Linked DNA regions of Drosophila melanogaster. The protein of the gene in region 3 interacts with the protein of the main gene of each other region in a pairwise test. Each region holds a gene or a part of one and is shown on either strand. Other genes may lie near its edges.

Region 1 (5,022 bases), on a different chromosome or scaffold from region 3:
AGATAATTTCATATCAAATACTCAACTTGCAAGACAGTTTTTTTATCTTAAAAAAATTATTTCTTTCTTGCTATTCTCGAAACAGTGTGAGTGCGGAATAAGTAGACAGCTATCCCTCTCATTTGCGTGTGGAATGAATAAAGATTACTAATTCAAATATGGGGCAAGAATTCCAATTCGATCAGAGACCCTGCTCTATTCTCACCTTTTGCAGCAGATCTCGCAGGTGTGCTCCAGTTGATCGGTGTCGTGCTTGGCCAGATGATTGGCCATACGGCGCTCGCTGCTGAAGGTGCGTTCGCACTTGGGGCACGGGAACTTGAGCACCTTGCCGATTTGAGCCACCTTGTTGTGCACCGTCTCGATATGAGTGGCCAAGTAGTCCTGCGAGTTGAGCGACTTCTTGCAAATGGTGCAGCTATGGGATTTTAAAGTCTATGTAGCAACAGACAGAACCCTCGGGCTTCAAACTCACGTAAATAGCTTGGGGTTGATATGTTTGCGGATGTGGTCCATCAGCTTGGAAGCGCGTGTAAAGACTTTGCCGCAGCACTTGATGTAGTACTCGCGCTGGTGCACCTCCAGGAAGTGGGTCTTCAATTCGGATAGGTAGGGAGCACTAAATTCGCACAGGTCGCAGCTTGCACTCATGTAGCTAGCAATGGCCTTCTCGTAGCTCTTGGCCAGCTGAGCACGGGAGCAGCCCTTGGGCTTGCGCTCGAGAACGGCCTGTAGCTCGGACTCCTGCGACTCGGTGGTTGTTCGCTGGTCAGGTGCCTTCCTGCGCCGACGCTTGCCACCATCGTCGAGCAGATCTGCAAGCTCCTGCTGCAGCGATATCGGACCCTGATCCTTGGAGGAACGTGCCGAGGTTTTGCGCTTGGGCTTCATTTTCGATTTCAGACGGACCAGGGGTTCATCTGCAATGGAACAGGAACTTAGTTACGGCTAATCCTTGGGAAACATTAAGATAATAACCATCTGAGGAGTCAGATTCAGATTCCGGCTGCCCCTCGGTCACCTCCGGTTCGCTATCACTAGCTTGCAGGCAGGGCTTCTCGTCCTCCTCCTCCTCGCAGGGCAGCTGCTCCTTGATCGGTTCCCTGACTTCCACACTGTCCACATTCACGTCCAGCACGCTTCCCAGCAGACTAAGGTTGTGCAGGTCCAACGGTTTCTCGTCCATGTCGCCAGCCGCCAGCGGCAGTTCGTCGATGTTGACGTCCACGTCCACACCGCCCGTCCACTTCATGGCCGCACAGTCGACGTCCACGGTAAGGAACTCCTTCTTGAGTGAGCACTGCTTCTGCTCCACCAGCTGCCAGAAGCCATTGAAGTCCTCCAGATGCTCACAGCACTCGGTACAGACGCTGGTCGAGATGCCGTCGTCTGGTAGGATCTGCATGGGATGGCTTATTGGAATTGTTTTGATACCATTGGTATTTGCCAGATACACTCACCTCCAGCTGCAGAAACTTCGCAATCATCTTGACCAGGCGCGTCTCCGCAAGCGTATCGTCCGTCTCAAAGAGGAAGACAGCGCTTCCGGGACTAAGACATCGCAGGCAAAGGCGACAAATCATTTCGCGCGAACAGAACCACAACGCAAAGTCAAATAAATAAAAAATTTAAACAGTTTTTCGTTGTAAACAACATAATTCACCTATCGTGAATCGATAACAGAATCCAATTGTGAATGGCAAAACTTCATCTCAGGAGTTTTTTGCGGGGTGGCCACCCTGATCGTTGAGTATTTCTCTTTAATTTCTCTTACAATTTATGGTCTACGTTTTTAATTGTCTGCAAAATACGCTGTAAACGATTATCCATTAATTAAAAATCGAAAATATGAAACTTAATATATCGCTGGATACACATCAAAACGATGGCATTCTGCGGACGGTCAGGCAGCACGCCAATCGACCCACACAACTCTGGCAACGCTTGCCGTAAAATGGCAAAAAAATAATACATACGATTTAAAACTAATGGACAATTACGTATTACGTGAAAAGAACGCAACGCAAATAATCAAAACAAATAAGAAACGCAACTCGTGTGCGTGTGTAGTGTGTGTGCAGAGCTAAAACCTAGCGAAGGAAAGGCAAAAACCCGTGGAAAAAGCGAATTCAAACGGGTTTACTCGAAGCCTCCTCACCCGATACCATTTTCCACCTACACTTGCAAAAAAGCGACAGCGCGCGAGAGGGACGGCGCGAGTGAGCGGAGAGTGGGAGAGCGCAGTGCAAGTGAGTGGGAGCGAGAGCGCTGACAAAGCCAGCGCAACATAGCGAAAATCGCAACCAAATCGAAATCGAAATTCAACCAAATCGAAGATTCTGGCGAACAAAGGCGACTAACAACAACAACTGCAGCAGCGGCACGTCTCGTCTTGGTTGCGCTCTCTTTTGTTTTCGTCCCGTGTTTTAACAAGCGGCGAAACGGGCGCTGAGTAAGCGCCAGAAAGAGTGCAAAAAAAAGGCGAAGGAAAGAAAGAAGCCAAGGAGCAACGAACTGTGTTTGCGGTGTGTGCTCTGCGTGCGAAAGGGTAAGCTCTATGGTCTCTCATGCTCTCGCTCTGGAAGTAGGCCGGAACCGAGATTTGTTTGCTAAATTATGTTTAATTGCACAGCGGGTTTGTAAATCTGTGATTTTGTTTGTAGAAAATACGCATTGTATCAAAGAAATATTTTTGTCGGTTCTGTCAAATTCGACGTGTGGGAGTGGGAGGGAAGTTCAGCTAGTCATGTTGTCCCGCTCTATATCGCAAACAGCGTTGCATTTGTCGTCGGCAGGTCATCGTGGTCCGTTTTCTCTTTTTGTCGGCATCGATGCATAGAGTCCGTGTTAATTTCCGTTTAATCGCTAAATAGCACGCTCTCTAATTGTTTAATAATTGCCAGGCGACTGCCACCCCCGGAATTAGTTTCACTCGGCGGTCTGGCTGGATCCCAACGGACCAGGTGGCAACGCCGCGCTCCACACCACTCACGCACGCAATACATTCGAAAAGTGAGAAGTGGTAGAGGAAGAACTCGAGGAAGAAGAATTAGCGGCAAACTTTATGTTGGACGGTGAAAAGCAGAATCAAAAGATATCAATTTCCGCGAAGTTAACAGTTAAATAACCAACATACAGGCGGCCAAGTGTGCCAGCAGACCGCGAAACATTCGAAGTAAACAAATTCAAGCGTTTTCCATTCAGTTTATCATCGCTGCCCAACAAACGAAACTCCCCGAGTGTATTGCTGTGTGCGTGCGTGCTGTTTAAACGGTATATTTTACTCGTCTCTCCTCTTTGTTTGCCTTTGCCAGCCACTGTGCCATGCAAAATTAATAAAAGGATACGGCTGTAAAACAAAAGGTGGTCAAAAAAAAAAATTGCACTCGTCGATTAAATAATAACTATCAAATCCTCTCGGTTTCTGCGAACGTAAGTGTGTGTGTGTGCGTGATGTGTGCGCCTGTGCCTGCGTGGTGTTAGTGTGCGTTGTGCTTGTGAATGGTTGTTATTACAAAAAGGAGACATAGAATTGTTGCCAAGCGTTTAGATTGTCTTGTACTCCCCCCACTTGCATCTGTCAAATTGGTTACATTTTAAATGCCGGCCTTTGTTGTTGTCGCTCTTGTTGCGAGGATTTTACTGGCCCCGTTTTTTCTATTGTTGCTGTAGTTGTCAGCCATTGTTCGGCCGCCCCTTCACGCCCCCTGCCGCAATTATTACAAGACGCCACCGCAAAAAATTCTTTCAATGCGTTGCCGCTTCTGCCGCTGCTGGCGCTGGTGTGTGTGTGTGGGTAAATCTATCTAGCTGTCCCGCTTCCGCTGTCACCCGCCCAAGGCAGCCTCTCAGTTGCGTGTGCTGCGAGGCACTGGCTGTCCTGCTCGCACCAAACATTGCCTGCATTCAGTGTCGGATCAAAGGGGGGAGCGAAACTGGGAAATAGTTGCCCCAAACGTTTTCGTAATAAACGCAATATCAACAAAATACCAAATGATTCTACAAACAGTTTCGAATGGTAGTAGTCGAATGGAATTACACTCTAGTTGTTACTTTAACGAAGCATTAAGAACTTGAACGTATTTCGCAACAGCATGTGTTGGAAAACTACCAAGAAACTTCTTTAGTTTCAGTGGAAATGAAATATCAAAAGCATTTCTACTAAAACTCGGTTTAGTTGAAACCCATACCTATTATTGTTTGAAGAGGTTATTTTCCAAATTATTTGCAATATCTTTCTAAGAAGAACCAATTTTCGCTACAGATCCACCTCTGTAAGCGTTAGTGGTGCGGATCGGTTGGGGGTGGCTAAATAGAGGAGTTCCCGGACACACAATAACCAGCGTGTTGAAAACAATTTGTCGGGAGCACCACCCACTTGCAACTGACTAGCCTCGCCTCGCTACGCCTGCACCTATACTCAATTAAATGCCTATCTACGCTTTTGTATTTTGCAGCCCACCAGAAAGACTGAAACAAGGAGCTTCGGCCCAAAAGCGATCCCAGCTCCTTAAACTCATTCTCGTCAAGAACCACAGCCACATCCTAGCCCATCCTCCAGCGCAGCGGGAAGACGAGGAGCGCGGCGGTGGCGAGAAGGAAGCTAACGCTAATGAGGATCTATTGGCAGCATGAGTACACTGGGGGGAAGTAGGGGAGAGCGAAATGCCAAGCCCAAATTCACAGCGTTAGATATAAATCGCATGTACAAGAATAGCCGCGTAAGTAGCGAGCCCCTAGACCTAGATCTAGATCTACATCTAGATCTTGATAGATCCAAACCTATCTGATCGCCAACTTGTTCTTATTGTTTGCAGGGCGAGTCAAGTGAACCATCTGCACAAAAGAATCAAGTGCCACGTAAACATGGAATGCAAATCTTGGGCAAAGTGCCGTCCGCTAGGCGACCACCAGCCAATTTGCCATCCCTGAAGGCCGAGACCCACACCAGCAGCAACAACAATCTCTTAGTCTCAGTCGAAGGTGGGTGTTCTACGATTTTATCTTATTGAAAGCGTGTGT
Region 2 (7,979 bases), on a different chromosome or scaffold from region 3:
GATTTAACTTTAAACCAAGTTATAATAAAATATGTGTTTATGAATGAGAGCTTCCACTAGAAAGGCATTCAATAAATTGGCAGAATAGAAATAAGTTCTCAACCATTTGAAATGGATACAGAAACATACAATCTCATCAATTTTGATTCGCACAAACAAACAAAAGTGTTAATGGCACGGAGGGCAGCCAGTTAAGTAGAATTTCGGCGAAAATAATTTGTGACACTTTCGAGCTTACACTACTGGCTGGTCTACTAAGTAGTTCAGCCGATTCTATGCATTTGATGTTGGCTAGATGATGACGCGGTAGTAGGAATCGGATATGCTGTACAAGGCCACAATGGGAGTCTTGGCATCGCTCAGATAGTCGACAACCTCTTCGTTTATCTCGGAGATGTAGCGCTTGTATTTCGAAAATCTGTATGAATTGATGAAGTTGCAGTTGAAAGCAGACCAAATAGAATTGATTTGTTAACTTACCGCTCGATCACATAGTTGATTTCCGGTTCAGTCTCTCGCTTGCGTATTTCCCGTGGATTAATGGCCCCCACAATGGCATTTACAACAGCAGGCGGCAACTCCACCACCAGGACCACAAAGGTCTCCTTCTTGAGGAACTGCGATAGCGTTGAGCTCATCTGCTGCGCCACCTGGTTCTCTAGCCGCCTTTTGTAGTTCGCCGTTGGCTTGTCGTGGGTGAGAAACGTCACCTGAAGATTCGGCAACTGGCTATAGTTGTTCTTGATGGTGGCATTCGATGCGGAGGTGCTCAGACCATTCTCGCCGCGTTCTCTTTCCTTTCCACCACTGCTTCTGTTGTCACCACTACCCAAGGCTGACAACTGGCTGAAGTTGTCCACGGTGGTCCCATTGAGTCCATCACTTCGCAGCATCTTCTGGATGAACTCCACCAGTTCGGTTCTTGTTAGGTGACGCTCCTGGAATCGTTCCCTCTCGAAAGATCTCACTCTCAATGAGCCATTTTCCGCCACCAGGATGACATGTAACGCCCCAAGGCGGGCAAGATCCTGTGCTTCATCTCCCAATTCGCTGGCGGCCTCCACAATTCCACATCGGATGCCAACCGACCACAGCAGACGCATGATATAGGTCACATCCTTTAGCGGTGGACGGGTTCCACACACGCAAATGCCCACATCTATCGCCCGACAATCCTTAGCGTATTCCACACCAACAGCAGCTACCAGCTTGTCTAGGGAGAACGTCAAGCCCGCTCCACTAAGAACTCCACGTGCTGGCATGGCGGGATTAAACTTCTGCGCCTGCTTCTGGAATTCATGCAGCATAGAGTCGTATCTCTCCCCAATCGCCAGAACCGAAGGATGGCCAGAGCGATTGGGCTTCAGGTCAGCGGTCATCTGCCACACAATTCCACCGTTGCTGGCACGATCGAAGCTGATGGGCAAGCCAGCCCATATGTGTATAGGACACTGAAAGGGAATGGGAACCGGTTAGACAAATATATTGCTTTTAAAAGAAGATTACTACTTACCTTTACGCCTAGACTGTAAGCCAGTCCCACAACTGTTTCAAGTTCCCGCAATGCTCCCCTTGCCAGTGAAGCTGCTTCTCCCTTTCCACGCATCAAAGATTTCAGCGCGGAATCGTCCACAGTGCTTCTGGAACCAGTCAGCAGAAAGTTAGCTAACAACATGTCCATCAGAGTTTGAGCAGATGTTCGCGACTTTTCCATAATCCCGGTAATACTCGAGTGAAATTGGAAGCGTGAGATGCGCGACTCGATGAAGTCCATGGTGCCCTCGAAGAGTGCTCCATACTGAGCCTTTGGTACATTGCAGAAGATGAGGATGGCCCTCAAGAGATTAGTGTGGTTCATGCGGATCGCCAAATTCTTTTCGCGTAATCGGGGCAGTTCACTGGTGATTTCAAAAGCCAACGACAGCAGCTCGGCATCAACTAAATGACTTCCAGTTGTGGGTGCAATTATATCGAAAGAGCAGTCGTAGCTTTGCTTGGGATGAAAATTAAACACTCGCTCCTCCCGATAGACACGGTCCACACAGTAGCGCCGGATGAGATTCACGCTGTTCATGGTAACGTGACGCGCAAACTGAGTCCGCAGGTCACAGGGTAGCACCACCACACATCCCGAGTGGGTCATAAGGTGTACGGCATTGGCGTTCGCATTCGCAGTGCTGTTCCTTGCGGAAAGTGGGGATAAGAGCGGTGAGTCCACCTCTATAGCTCCATGCTTGCGGAATAAATTCACGACCTTAGCCTTAACAAACTCAATCACTGGGTTCAGGGATACTATATCATCGATTATAATTGCCGAGTTCCAGGATTTCATAGCTCGACTGCTTCCCAAGTGGTAGGTGTGTTCCAGCACCTCGTCGCTCTCCTGCTGAAGACATCGGGCAACTAGGTTCTTGTAGGCCTTGCTCTGCGGATTAGCGAGGGCGTGACGCAGCATTTCTTGGAGCTCATTGGCCTCCAACTGGGCTGGTGGAACCAGGTCTGAGATGAGCAGCTCCTCGGCAGTAGGTCTCTGGGCGGGATCGTGGTTGAGAAGCCACTGAAGCATCTTAAAAATAATATAACAGTGAAAATCTTAGCTTTTATCAGGATGGCGACGTGTTTACCTTCACCGTCTTCTCATACTTGGGATCCTTAAGCATAGCATCCGGTATATTAATGGAAACATTCCTGAGAGCCATAATGGTCTGAGCCCGCTCCATGCTTGTGTCGAACGGCGGTTGGCACATCTCGAAAAGAATGATTCCCAGGGTGTACATATCAACCTTCTGGTTGTACACAGACTTGGAAGCATTTCCTGTCAATTCGGGAGCCACGTATAGAGTGGTGCCGACCTTACCAGTACCAGTGCCGTCTTCCGCACTGGTTATCTGGTTAACAGGCGCAGGCGCTGCGTCGTGGGCTTGGAGAGCCAGAAAACTGGTGGTGGCCAGACCAAAGTCACCGATCTTAATCTGATCGTGCGAGTCCAAGAAGATGTTAACGGGCTTTAGGTCCCGATGGATAATGCCTTGCTGGTGAATATGCGCGAGACCCTCGGCAATCTCCCGAAATAAGCGCCACAGACGATCCGTGTCATTGAAGAGATTGTCATCGATGGCGGTGCTACAGTATTATTAAATAGTTATTTAATTAGTTATTTAATTGGTGAAGCTTTCGAAAAACATACCGCAATGTGCATTTCTCACAGAACTCCATCTGGATGTACATGACCTGCATCAAAGGTTTTGGCGAATTGGTCTTGCCTCTGGTGGAATCCTCCTGCTCTTCGTCGTCGTAGACAGCCACCTTGCCGTTGGAGTCCACAAATTCAATGCCATCCGAATCAGAGTCCTCCATGTTGGGTCTGATGGATACGAAGAGGTGTTAGCGTTAATTCAAATTAGAGGAAGCATAGAAGCTAATTTTTACATGTAACCGTTCCACATGCTGGATGAGCTGTCCTCTTCATCCTCGTCCTCCTCTAAAGTGGGCCCCAGCTGTGGTGACTTGGCAGGTTTTACGCTAAGGTCCTGCTGACTCTGGGACCACTCACCGCCCAGCAGCTTATCCATCTCAGCGGCATCTGCGTCATCTACACTTTCTATCCAACTGTTAAAGTATCGAACTACATTCTCATGATTCAGCCGCGAAAGAAGCTCCACCTCGCGCGTCATCTTTTTGTACAGCTGGCGACTCCTCGCGGGCAATGGTATGCGCTTGATGGCGTACTCTCGGTTGTCTAAAATGTTGCGCACCTTTAGCACGTCACCAAAGGCACCCTTTCCCAAGTACATGAGCACCTCGAATTCCGTTCGCAGGCGGGATTGGCTTAGGGCCAGTGTCGGTATCTGGTACGGCATGGCGGATCCAGTGCGCTGGACGGTGTTAGGATGTTGCTGCTGTGGTAATGGCATCACCTGCTGCTGGCCATTGTCGACGTAAAAGCGTAAGAATGGATGCTCCAATAACTCTGATGCGGAAAGAGTTCGGTCCGAGTTACACCTAAAGAAAACATTAAATTAAAAAAGGATTAAGTTTTCATTACAATTAATTACTTGTCTACAAAGTCGCGCATCTCGTAACTGTTAGTGGGCATCAAACTCTCCACCAGGGCACCTAACGCGGGTAAGTCCCCGCAACTGCTGCTTTGTCCAGCTCCGCTCAGAAGTTCTAGAAGATTGGGAACGAGCGAAAAGTCTGATACCCTCACATTGCCTGTGTTGTCCATAAAAACAGTGGTGTCGAGCAGGTGACTATGGGATACACCCTTGTTGTGAAGAAATACTAAGGCGTCCAGCACGCCGCGCGCAACCATTCGTGCGCCGTCCATGCACCAGCCAAGCGAGGAGGAGATGCTGAACACGCTGGTGCCAAGGAGGAAGTCTTGGACCAAATACACAAGTAGACCTTCCTTTCGCTTGATGCACAGTACGCACTCGTACGAGACGAGGTTTTTGTGCTGTAGTTGGGACAGTGAGGACACCTGCTTTTCAATGGAGGCCATCACTTCGTCCACACGATGACTGCCCATGCACTTTGACTCGCTGCTCCAGTGGCACTTGCCTCCGCCGATGCATGGCTGCTCCAGTTGGCTGTACTTGATGTTCCATTCTGTTATGTAGAGCAACTGGCCGCAGTGCATATCTATGCCAGTGTAGGCGATGCAACCTCGTTGGGAGTGACCTAGGAATTACGCACAATAAATTACTTAGTTCAGACGCATTCAAAACAGGAATTCTCTTTAGGAAAGCGAACCCTCACCAACGCAGCATCCACGCTGAATCTGCCTGCCCATCTTGTGGAAGTAGAGCGTCTCCGTGTTGCGGTGATCCAGGCATTTGGAGGGGTAGATGTGACCACGATAGTAGGGCGAGGAGTTCTCGGAGCTCTCCGACGAGCTAGGATGCCGTGGGTTAGACTCGCTCATGCTGCGCCTTGGTTCGCCGCGCCTCTTAGCCTCCGTTTTGAACATCTCTTTGCGCCGCTCCACCTCGTCGATGAGCGTCTGGCGTTGCAGGGACTCCCGCTGCCGCTGTATGTCCTGTAGCTCCTGGTCGCGCTTCTGTTTATCCTGGAGCATCTGGTCGTAGAATGATCCCTTTGGTGGTTTGTTGTGTTCGAGGAGAAAGGCCTGAACGGTCTGGGCCAATTCATAAATCATCACTTCGCCACGTAGCTCTTGGGATTGAGCCTGCAATTGGTTGCGTAGGGCCTCCAGCAGCTGATCCGACATGCCTTTGGACTCCTCCAGAGATATCTTAGGGGGCCTGCGGAAAGTTTGGTTTACTTATTTTGAGTAATGCATTCCACATTCTAGTGGTTAGTTCTATAGTTTAAAATTCAGTTTTTTAAGAATAAGTGGAACTGGGCTCTTACAATTTTGGATACTTTGATGGACAGGTGACGTGCAGCTTGGTGCACACATAGGTTTCCAGTCCGTTCGAGGAGTCTCGAAGTGGGGTAAGTTGTATCCGTATGTCCGTTGGCTTCCACAGGGAAGGATTCGCCTGGGGTCTTAGGTCCTCCACATCACAGCCAAAGATGGACTGTTCCAAGATAAGGAGATAAGCCTTTAGTATCAGCTTCTTGGATGAAACACCTGCTCTGCTCACCTTTATAACCTCCAACTCCTGCGCTTGCCGCTCGCGGAAGGATTCCTTGGCCTTTTCATCCGCCATTTCTGCATTAAATCTCCGGTTAGTGGATAAGTCTTGGCTACATCTGGGTGCTTTGGAATACTGGATCGGAAGTTCCTTCGGATTTCCCACCGGGTTATTTTAGCCGGTGTGCAATTTCACAAACTGCGCTGGCAGCTGTTTCCAAATCAGCTGCGTGCTGCATTACTTTGCTGCTGTATTCGACTTGAATTCGATGTGAAATGAGTTACTACGCGAACTCCTGCCGTTTTTGTTGCGTAAAGAGAACAACCTGTTGCGCTTTCCACTTAATTTTCCGGAAAAAGAAAATTTTTTGCGTATTTTGTACTGAAGGCTAGTGGTGCACAAGTGTCGATAACAAGCCTGAAAGTCCAATGTTGGCACTATCGATACTTGGCGCCAACGTTCGACTTCGTTGTCTTTTGAACCGAAGAATGACAATGGTCGGTTTTCAATAAAATATAGATAAGTGTTTGTTTTCAAACGTAGGCCTTGCCCACAAAGAGGCCTATTCCCATGATAACTAATTGAAAAGAGAAGAAAACTCCTCCCACTGGGATTCCGCGATAAGCGATTTAACAGCACTCTTCACTGTTGACATTCCTTGTTGGTTTTGCTTATCTAATTGAAAATTTGACAATTGTACTCAAAGCGCAGCGGATTAAGGTTATCTGAAATGGAAATAGAGTTTTCATTGGCGATCTGCAGCATTCAGTCTTCCATTTCGTCTAGAAGGCAGAACTTGCCAAGTGCAACAATGCCGCCAATCTTTCTGCTCGTATGTCTTCTTCCTGGTTACTCGGAAGGTGCTCGCATCCTGGCAGTGTTCCCTTTGCCAAGTTCTTCGCATTACTTTTTCGCCTTACCCTACCTTAAGAGTTTGGCCTCCCTGGGCCACGAAATAACCAGTGTAAGTCCGTATCCACAAAGGGAGCCGTTTAGGAATATACACGATATTCCAGTTCCCGAGGTTTTCGAAAACTTTAATGGTGAGATGAGATAAATAAAGATCTGATTTGTCAAATAGAAATACTTACGATATTTTCCAGAGGTCCTTAGGATTGCATCTACTCCCAGGAGCACCTGGCAAAGTAGTGATTTCATCAACGAATATGTCCTTAATCTTACGAAGACAGTGCTGAATAACGAGGGCGTAAGGCGCGATATTCTAGGCCCACAGAAGCCCCATTTCGATCTTGTGATAATGGATCTCTGGCGAATGGACGTGCTCAGTGGCCTGGCTGCCTATTTTGATGCCCCGATCATCGGAATGGCTTCCTATGGCACCGACTGGAAGATTGACGAACTGATGGGCAACGTCTCACCGATTTCTTACCTGCAGTCTCCCTCTTCTCGATTCTACGATCTGGAGGCCTATGGAGAGCGGTTGTTGCACCTGATGGAGCGAACTTTTTCTTATATGAACTATAAATGGCGACATGTGAGAAAACAGGAGACTCTCTATAGTCAATTTTTCCCCAGCGTCGCTGAGCGGAAACCCTTGTCAGAGATATCCCGGAACTTTGATTTGGTCCTGGTCAATCAGCACTTCACACTGGGTCCTCCTCGTCCTTATGTTCCGAATATGATCCAGGTGGGTGGTCTGCATGTCGATCACAGCACAGAGGCTCTGTCCGCCGAACTGGACCACTTTATCCAAGGTGCTGGTGAATCGGGGGTAATCTATTTCTCACTGGGAACCAATGTCAAAAGCAAATCGCTATCCGAGGATCGTCGAAAGGTATTGCTCGAGACTTTCGCCAGCTTGCCACAGCGAATCGTTTGGAAGTTCGAAGATGAACTGCTGCCAGGAAAACCCCCCAATGTTTTCATTAGTAAGTGGTTCCCGCAGCAGGCCATCCTGGCCCATCCCAATGTAAAACTCTTTATAACCCACGGCGGGCTACTGAGCACTATAGAGAGTATTCACCATGGAAAGCCCATGTTGGGGTTGCCCTGCCTATTCGATCAGTTTCGAAATATGGATCATGTCCGGCAAGTGGGTCTTGGTTTGGTCCTCAACATAAAGCAAATGACCAGTGAGGAATTTAGGTCTACAATTATACGGCTGCTAACGAACAAGAGTTTCGAAGAAACGGCAAGGATCACGGCTGCCAGATATCGGGATCAACCAATGAAGCCCATGGAAACGGCGATCTGGTGGACCGAGTATGTCCTGTCTCACAAGGGAGCTGCTCACATGCAAGTCGCCGGCAAGGACTTGGGTTTTGTAAGATACCACAGTCTAGATGTCTTCGGCACTTTTTTGGTTGGCGCTTTAGTTATCCTGGGAATTGTTACATATCTGTTGGTTATGACCTT
Region 3 (6,512 bases):
TGGGCTTGGAGAATCTCCTAAAGTAACTACGATGATCTTGAGTAGAAATACAAGTTTTAGCTAATTCATTATTTTTTTAGGTATGGCATTCGCATCAATCCACTGGATTGGTTCTTCTTCATAAGCGGACACAACGAAGGCGAAGGACATAACGCCCTAATCCTGAGCATTTGTAAGCACGCACAAAATCAAGGATTACGCAAACGAAATTGATAACCTTCGTCTCACCATATTTTACAGACTCTTTAGTGCATATCTCGCTCTGTTTGGCTGTGGAGAAGGGTCTAGCCATGGTAAGTACTTACTTTGATAGCATCTCACGCCTATTTTCTTCGATCGTGACTTGAAATACGTTATTAGCTTGAACATGGCTTATATGATAAATTTCGAAATATCTAGTTAATTCTAAATTCACAATTTTGAAATTGAGTGAAGGGTGTTTGACAAGAAATGATTTGTTTATCAGAGAGAAAAGTATGAAATATTCAGAAGTTATCGCAGTTGAAACACACTAGTTTCGGAAAACATAATTTTTAATTGTTTACAAAACTTACATATATTAGATACAATTTTTAAATGACAATAAACTGGGCATGCAATGAGTGATCGAGTGCGTGTATGCATAAATTTTCGAATGTATGGCGAGGTTTGATTGCGATGAATGAGCTTAAAGTCGGTCGATTCCTTTAGGCAATGCGTACTCCAGCCTGATCACAATATTTCTGGAGTACTTGCTTGTACTCCGGCTCCAGGGGCGACAACAAAGTGGAAAATTCTCCTGCCCTAGCCTGGGCAAACTTAGAGAGCGAAGTTGCTAGAAACTGGCGAGCATCCTTAATCTCAGCCAGGTGATCCTGCTGGTTGGGCTGGGCATGAGTCAGTTGGGCAAATGCCACTTGATAGCCCGCATCGGGATCTTCGGCAACTCCAGCTGTCTCTCCTATTTCGAGACCCATCAATTTCTCTGGTGGTCGTTCAAAAAGATCGATTAGAGAATGCAGCAGTCGTGGCCAGAAAGTAGCGTACTGTTGCTGCAATATCTCAGGAGTTTCTGTAAGTAGCTTAGTGACACCCACGGCCACCATTTTGCGATCCTGTTCCTTGGGAATCTTGCCCATTTCGGTGATAAACACGCGGTCCAGCAGCATGCCAAATAGGTTAGGCTGAATCTCATCTATCAATTGAGCCATCTGACTGCCACTGAACTTAATCACATAAAAGCTAAAGAAGATAATGATGCCGCTTAAATACTTCGGAGTCTTTGAGAGAGACAATCGCTGGAAGAGCAGGCCAAAGATCTGACGAAGATTAGTTTGAATCTCAGCGGGAGGGTAGTAGGAAAGCAGATTCTGGAGAAGATAAAACCCTTCATGGTCATTAGCCTTGGAGGCAATCATCTTTTGGAATATTCCGAGGATACCGCTCTGAAATATATGTTGAAAAATGCATAAGATTGGACTCTGTAAAATAAAATTTGTGATGTATAATATAACTTACCAGTTTACCCAAGGCTTGAATCTGAGCAGATCCCTGCTTGATGAAAGCAGAAATCAGGCGAATTAATGGTGTGACATTGCCCGTCCTGTCCCACAGAGCTGGTGACAACAAGCAGGGGAACAAAGCCCAATAGGGTTCCGGTATGGTACCAGTGCCCTCGCGCATTTCCAACAGCACAGAAAGCATCTGGAAGACGTAGGGCATAAATTCGACAATGTCCTGCTGTAAGATGCCCTGGAAAACTGGGAACAATGCCTCCTCAAAGGAGCTCACAGCCGAGGAATCGGCGTGACAAACAATTCTAGGGAAAAAGAAAATTTGTTATTGCTCTTTACCACCAAAATGCATAACACTTACTTTATACACAGAGCCAGCGTTTCAAAAAGATAGTGGTTGAACTGCGGACGCGATGGATTCTTGGCCACTTGGGTGAGAATCTCGGTAAGCCGTGGAAGGGCGACGCCCATAAAGGGCATGGCGGCCGATTGCAAGACCGAAAAACTTCGCATAATGGCTAATAATAATAATTAGAGTTTTGTTAACATATTAGAAACGTATGAGATAGTCCCCCAAACTCACCTTTCATTACGTACTCATTTTCACCGGAACCTGGGAGTGAAAGGGTCGCAAATAACCCACTAATTAGTTCAGTTGTGTAAGGTGCTAAAATCTGAGGACCAAAAACGATCGCGTTGCTAGCATCCCGCATAGAAAGGATCTTCTCCACTGAACAAGCAGCATAGCTATGAACAACAGAGCTTTCGGCGGGGAGATGTCGAATTAGCTGGGGCAGGCAGCTTGCTAAGACTTGGGGACCCAAAATGCTGCGGAACACCATTACATACTTAATTGCAGCAGCCTTAAGAACAGGAAACTCGTTAACTGCAAAGAGCATTGGAAGAATGCAGATATAAGATGATCGAATTGGGAAAATGGTTATTTGGGCTTACTGTTGGGTCTTTCCAGTTCTGGAATAATTTGCTGGGCACAAAATTCGGGAAGTGGAACCAACTCCGAGGTCTGTGTGATGCCATGCTTTTGAGTTCCTCCTCGAGATGCCCACGAAGTAACCAAATAAATTGCCGTATCCTTTGACCTCCAATTGGTAGCCGGATTCTCCTTGTACTTGGTCAACAATCTCTCTAGATACTGGCCAAAAATGCCAAAGATCTTTTGTTCAAAGTTGATTGATAGAGTCTTCACCAGATCACATGCCGCCCGACGTCGTGTGTCAATGTCAGAGCCTTCAATATCCCTTCGAATGTACTCCTCCGGACTGTCCTCGAAAATTTCTTCATCTGAGGGCCGGATGTCTAGATTGGGAATGACAACTTTATCGCAGATCTGAGCAAGAATCTCTGGGTTCTCGAAAATGCTCTGATAATGCTGGCGGTCAGCCACCACAGAGAGGAACTGCAGAGCATGGGAGACCAACTGTGCGCAAAATAAGAATGGAAAAATTATAAAAATAATTATTAAGAAAGCGTATGGTTTCTGTTACTTACCGAATCGTACTTGGTGTGCAAACTTGTCTTGACCAGTAACTCCCAAACTGCAGTCACAAATTGCTCCATAAATGGCTTGAACTCCTCGTCGTACTTTTTTGCATAAAGGCAAATGTTCTCGCAGACTTGAGCACGCAGATGCTCTAGAACACCCGCATCCTCATCATCTGCAGTACGCAGGGATGGCACATCCGCAGCTAGTTGCTGAATAAACGCTCCCATCCACGTATTGATATTGTCCTCAAAGAACTCCGGCAAATCTTGGGAGTTGAGCGAGAAAAACACCTTGTTCACAAGGACCAATGAACCGTAGATGACCTTCAGGGCGCCGGCATTGTTCTCGTGCACCTTAGTCAACTGCATTGTGGCCTGGAGCAGGTCTGTCAGAGGTTTAGCCATACGATCCAGTACAAATTTGATCTCCTCCCACAAAGCCTGCGACTTGAACTCATAACGATAGCGCTTGAAAAGCGAGTGTGCGGTTTGCAAAACGCCGTTGATGACATTGAAATCACCAGAGGCAAATCTCTCCACCATCTCGTCGATAAGCTGCGGCCATTTTTTGGGAAAATCATATTTGCCTATGATGCTGACCGCGTCGCTTAGTTGTTTTTGCAATGCCACCGGTGAGTGGAGCATTAGCGTAACGATCAAGGTCTTAATTGTATTCCTGTCACTTTCGTGGATGCGATCCGGTCCGTCGCTGTCAAGGTGGGCTGCCCAATTCCGCTTAATATAGTTCTTAAAGGCAATGGCTCCCGCCACCCGCGTAGTCATGTCCATTTGGGCTTTGTCTATCAGATTGAGCAGTAGGATCGGGTAATTCTGCTGTAGTTCCGTGGACTCCAAAAGTTTTTCGGCTATAAAAGTAGAGAAGGAAATGGTGTGTTTGTTAGAACTATTGTACTTATGTAAATCGGATGTTGCAAATACAAATATATAAGGAACCGATAGGAGCTTACAGTGTTTCTCGTTAGACTAAACATATTTTCAATTCAAGCAATAAGTTTTTTATACAATATTTTCAAAAGCTTGGTTATGGTGGTGCGGAGTCTATAGGCTTGGTATGCCTTAAATAATCCTAAAACTAGGTCTATGGTTTTGAAAGGTGGCTTGGCAACAGTCATATCAAGATCAGCTAATCTCGATTCAATTAATAGAAAGCGTGACTGTATAAATTCTTTGACATAGGGAAAACTTGTAGACAACTTCAAATGGATTTAAAAACCGTATTTTTCTTTGGCGTCGCCAAAAACCATTTCCCGCGCACATACACATCAGCACCCCTGCACGCATGTGCAGTTGTGTGTGTGCACATGCATTCCTACACACACACACTCACCCGGCCGGCGGACATTGGGATCGGCGCTCAGCGTCTGCTGCAAATAACCGGCCAGCAGCTGTAAATTTGCCTCTGTCACTTCCATTTTGAGTATATTTTCTTTTCGATGGTCCTATTTGCTTTAATTTATATCACTCGTGGCTTGTTCCTCCACACTCTTGCAACATGAAATGAAATCGCAATTCGTTTTCGCACACAATGCTCGCCGATCTGGGGATGGAACTCAGGGCGAGTTTTCGATATCGATTGTTTATAGTTACTGTTACTAGGATTCGATGGTTTTAGATTTTAAATGTTCATATCAGAAATATCGCATATTGAACTTTACTAATTTAGTATCATTTGATATGATATCAATTCCTGTTTTTTTTTTTCAAAAACCAACTGAATGAATTAAAAATTAAAACAAATTTGTAATTCTTTTCCAGGAAATAATTGCAGAGGGCTTGGGCTTGTTCATCCAGATAGTGAACATTGTTGTCTTGGTTTGCCTACCGGTGGTAACAATTCACCTAAAAGGACATGCTTTTAGTTTGAGTGAGAAATTAACTTAGTTTAGGTGTATTTTAAAATATTTAATTATCTGTTAATCTTTAGTGGGCGCTTCAACAGTTTGCTTCTTTTACTCTGTGTTGTTCCTAAAACTATGGTCCTATGTGCAGACGAATATGTGGTGCCGTCAGACTTATTATCAAAAGAATCCGCGGGAGCGTCGACCAAGCATAACTTTGGCGGAACTAAGTATGTTGAGATCTCTCAACGGAATGTCATATATTAAAAATTCATCTTTCATCCAGAAAAAGGAGTTTTGAATGGAGGTGAAGAAGACGAGGACGTTTCCAAGCTGGTGCAATATCCTGATAATCTCACATACAAGGATCTCCTGTACTTCCTTTGCGCGCCCACTCTCTGCTATGAGTTGAATTTCCCGCGAACTTCTCGCGTGCGCAAACGCTTTTTGCTGAAGCGTTTATTGGAGGTGGTGATTGGAGTGAATGTGGTTATGGCCTTGTTTCAACAATGGATCATTCCATCGGTTCGGAACTCCCTGATTCCGTTCTCCAATATGGACGTGGCCTTAGCCACTGAGCGACTTCTTAAACTTGCGGTTGGTAGAGTGAAAATTATAAAACGTTTGAGTATTATTTAATAATTTTTCTTTAATTAGCTACCCAATCATCTTTGCTGGCTCTGCTTTTTCTATCTAATGTTCCACTCTTTTCTTAATGCGGTCGGCGAACTGCTGAATTTTGCAGATCGCAATTTTTATTGTGATTGGTGGAATGCGAATAACATTGACACCTTCTGGCGTACATGGAACATGCCAGTTCATAGGTGGTGCGTGCGTCATCTCTACATCCCTGTGGTCCAAATGGGATATTCCTCAAGACAGGCCTCTACTATTGTCTTTCTTTTCAGTGCCGTCTTCCATGAATATTTGGTATGAGGGTTGATATTTAGAATTTCAAATTTTGTACAATAATATAATTTATATTTTCAGGTTTCAGTTCCTTTGCAAATATACAAGATCTGGGCATTTATGGGCATGATGGGTCAGATTCCCCTATCGGCCATATCCAAATCCATTGAAAAGAAACTGGGTCCCCGAATGGGCAATATAATCGTGTGGGCTTCCATTATTCTTGGTCAGCCTCTGTGCATAATGGCCTATTATCACGATTATGTCGTCCAGCATTTCAAAAACTCGCTCAACGGCACCGACTACAGTAGTTAGGTTTCAAAAAAGGTTAACATTTAAAAATGGAGCAACACTGAAATATCTGCATCGGTCGGGTCCGTGTACTTTTCGTAATTTATAAGCCAGAATGCAAGTTAAGAAGGAAACTTGTGATTGCCAATTTACAAAGCATATTTTGTATGACTTTTGCACATGCATGTAGTACTGATTAACACAAATAGATTGTTATTGAATGCATTTGTTAATGAATTTAAGTGTCATGTAAATAAATCAAATTTTAAACTAAATAAAATGTTTTTAATTTTTAAATTATATGAAACGAAAAAAATGTAATTATTAAGCTCTTTGTTCGATAGTTCCTTCCCTAGAATACACGATCTATCGATTGTTTATGCGGCATATGGTCACACTTCATCGCTGCCCAAGCCAAAACAGACAATTTTTTTTCCTATATTTCAAGTAACATTTG

What was found.
Region 1: the proteins of Cse1 (region 3) and nocte interact in a two-hybrid assay, tested with the Drosophila melanogaster proteins (one large-scale study listed by BioGRID).
Region 2: the proteins of Cse1 (region 3) and Gcn2 interact in a two-hybrid assay, tested with the Drosophila melanogaster proteins (one large-scale study listed by BioGRID).

Annotation. Positions count from the first base shown.
Region 1 is NC_004354.4:10,471,579-10,476,600, reverse strand, and holds the start of nocte (no circadian temperature entrainment), read left to right. Parts: upstream 1-1,925; 5' UTR 1,926-2,548; exon of another isoform or gene 2,549-2,663; intron 2,664-3,013; exon of another isoform or gene 3,014-3,432; intron 3,433-4,457; 5' UTR 4,458-4,631; coding exon 4,632-4,721; intron 4,722-4,817; coding exon 4,818-4,983; intron 4,984-5,022. Other genes in the region: CG2889 (uncharacterized protein), read right to left, coding at 206-418, 476-920, 979-1,399, 1,461-1,583.
Region 2 is NT_033777.3:31,393,690-31,401,668, reverse strand, and holds Gcn2 (Gcn2), read right to left. Parts: upstream 6,010-7,979; 5' UTR 5,679-6,009; coding exon 5,613-5,678; intron 5,547-5,612; coding exon 5,377-5,546; intron 5,268-5,376; coding exon 4,756-5,267; intron 4,684-4,755; coding exon 4,056-4,683; intron 4,003-4,055; coding exon 3,430-4,002; intron 3,365-3,429; coding exon 3,188-3,364; intron 3,124-3,187; coding exon 2,625-3,123; intron 2,567-2,624; coding exon 1,514-2,566; intron 1,452-1,513; coding exon 481-1,451; intron 419-480; coding exon 292-418; 3' UTR 109-291; downstream 1-108. Other genes in the region: Ugt35D1 (UDP-glycosyltransferase family 35 member D1), read left to right, coding at 6,415-6,646, 6,707-7,979.
Region 3 is NT_033779.5:16,820,638-16,827,149, forward strand, and holds Cse1 (chromosome segregation 1), read right to left. Parts: upstream 4,571-6,512; 5' UTR 4,430-4,570; coding exon 4,345-4,429; intron 3,863-4,344; coding exon 3,003-3,862; intron 2,932-3,002; coding exon 2,448-2,931; intron 2,380-2,447; coding exon 2,077-2,379; intron 2,012-2,076; coding exon 1,855-2,011; intron 1,799-1,854; coding exon 1,498-1,798; intron 1,425-1,497; coding exon 687-1,424; 3' UTR 519-686; downstream 1-518. Other genes in the region: CG13280 (uncharacterized protein), read right to left, coding at 306-369; mdy (midway), read left to right, coding at 1-22, 81-172, 241-293, 4,773-4,881, 4,942-5,085, 5,142-5,452, 5,513-5,785, 5,846-6,079. UniProt on the Drosophila melanogaster protein: Export receptor for importin alpha. Mediates importin-alpha re-export from the nucleus to the cytoplasm after import substrates have been released into the nucleoplasm.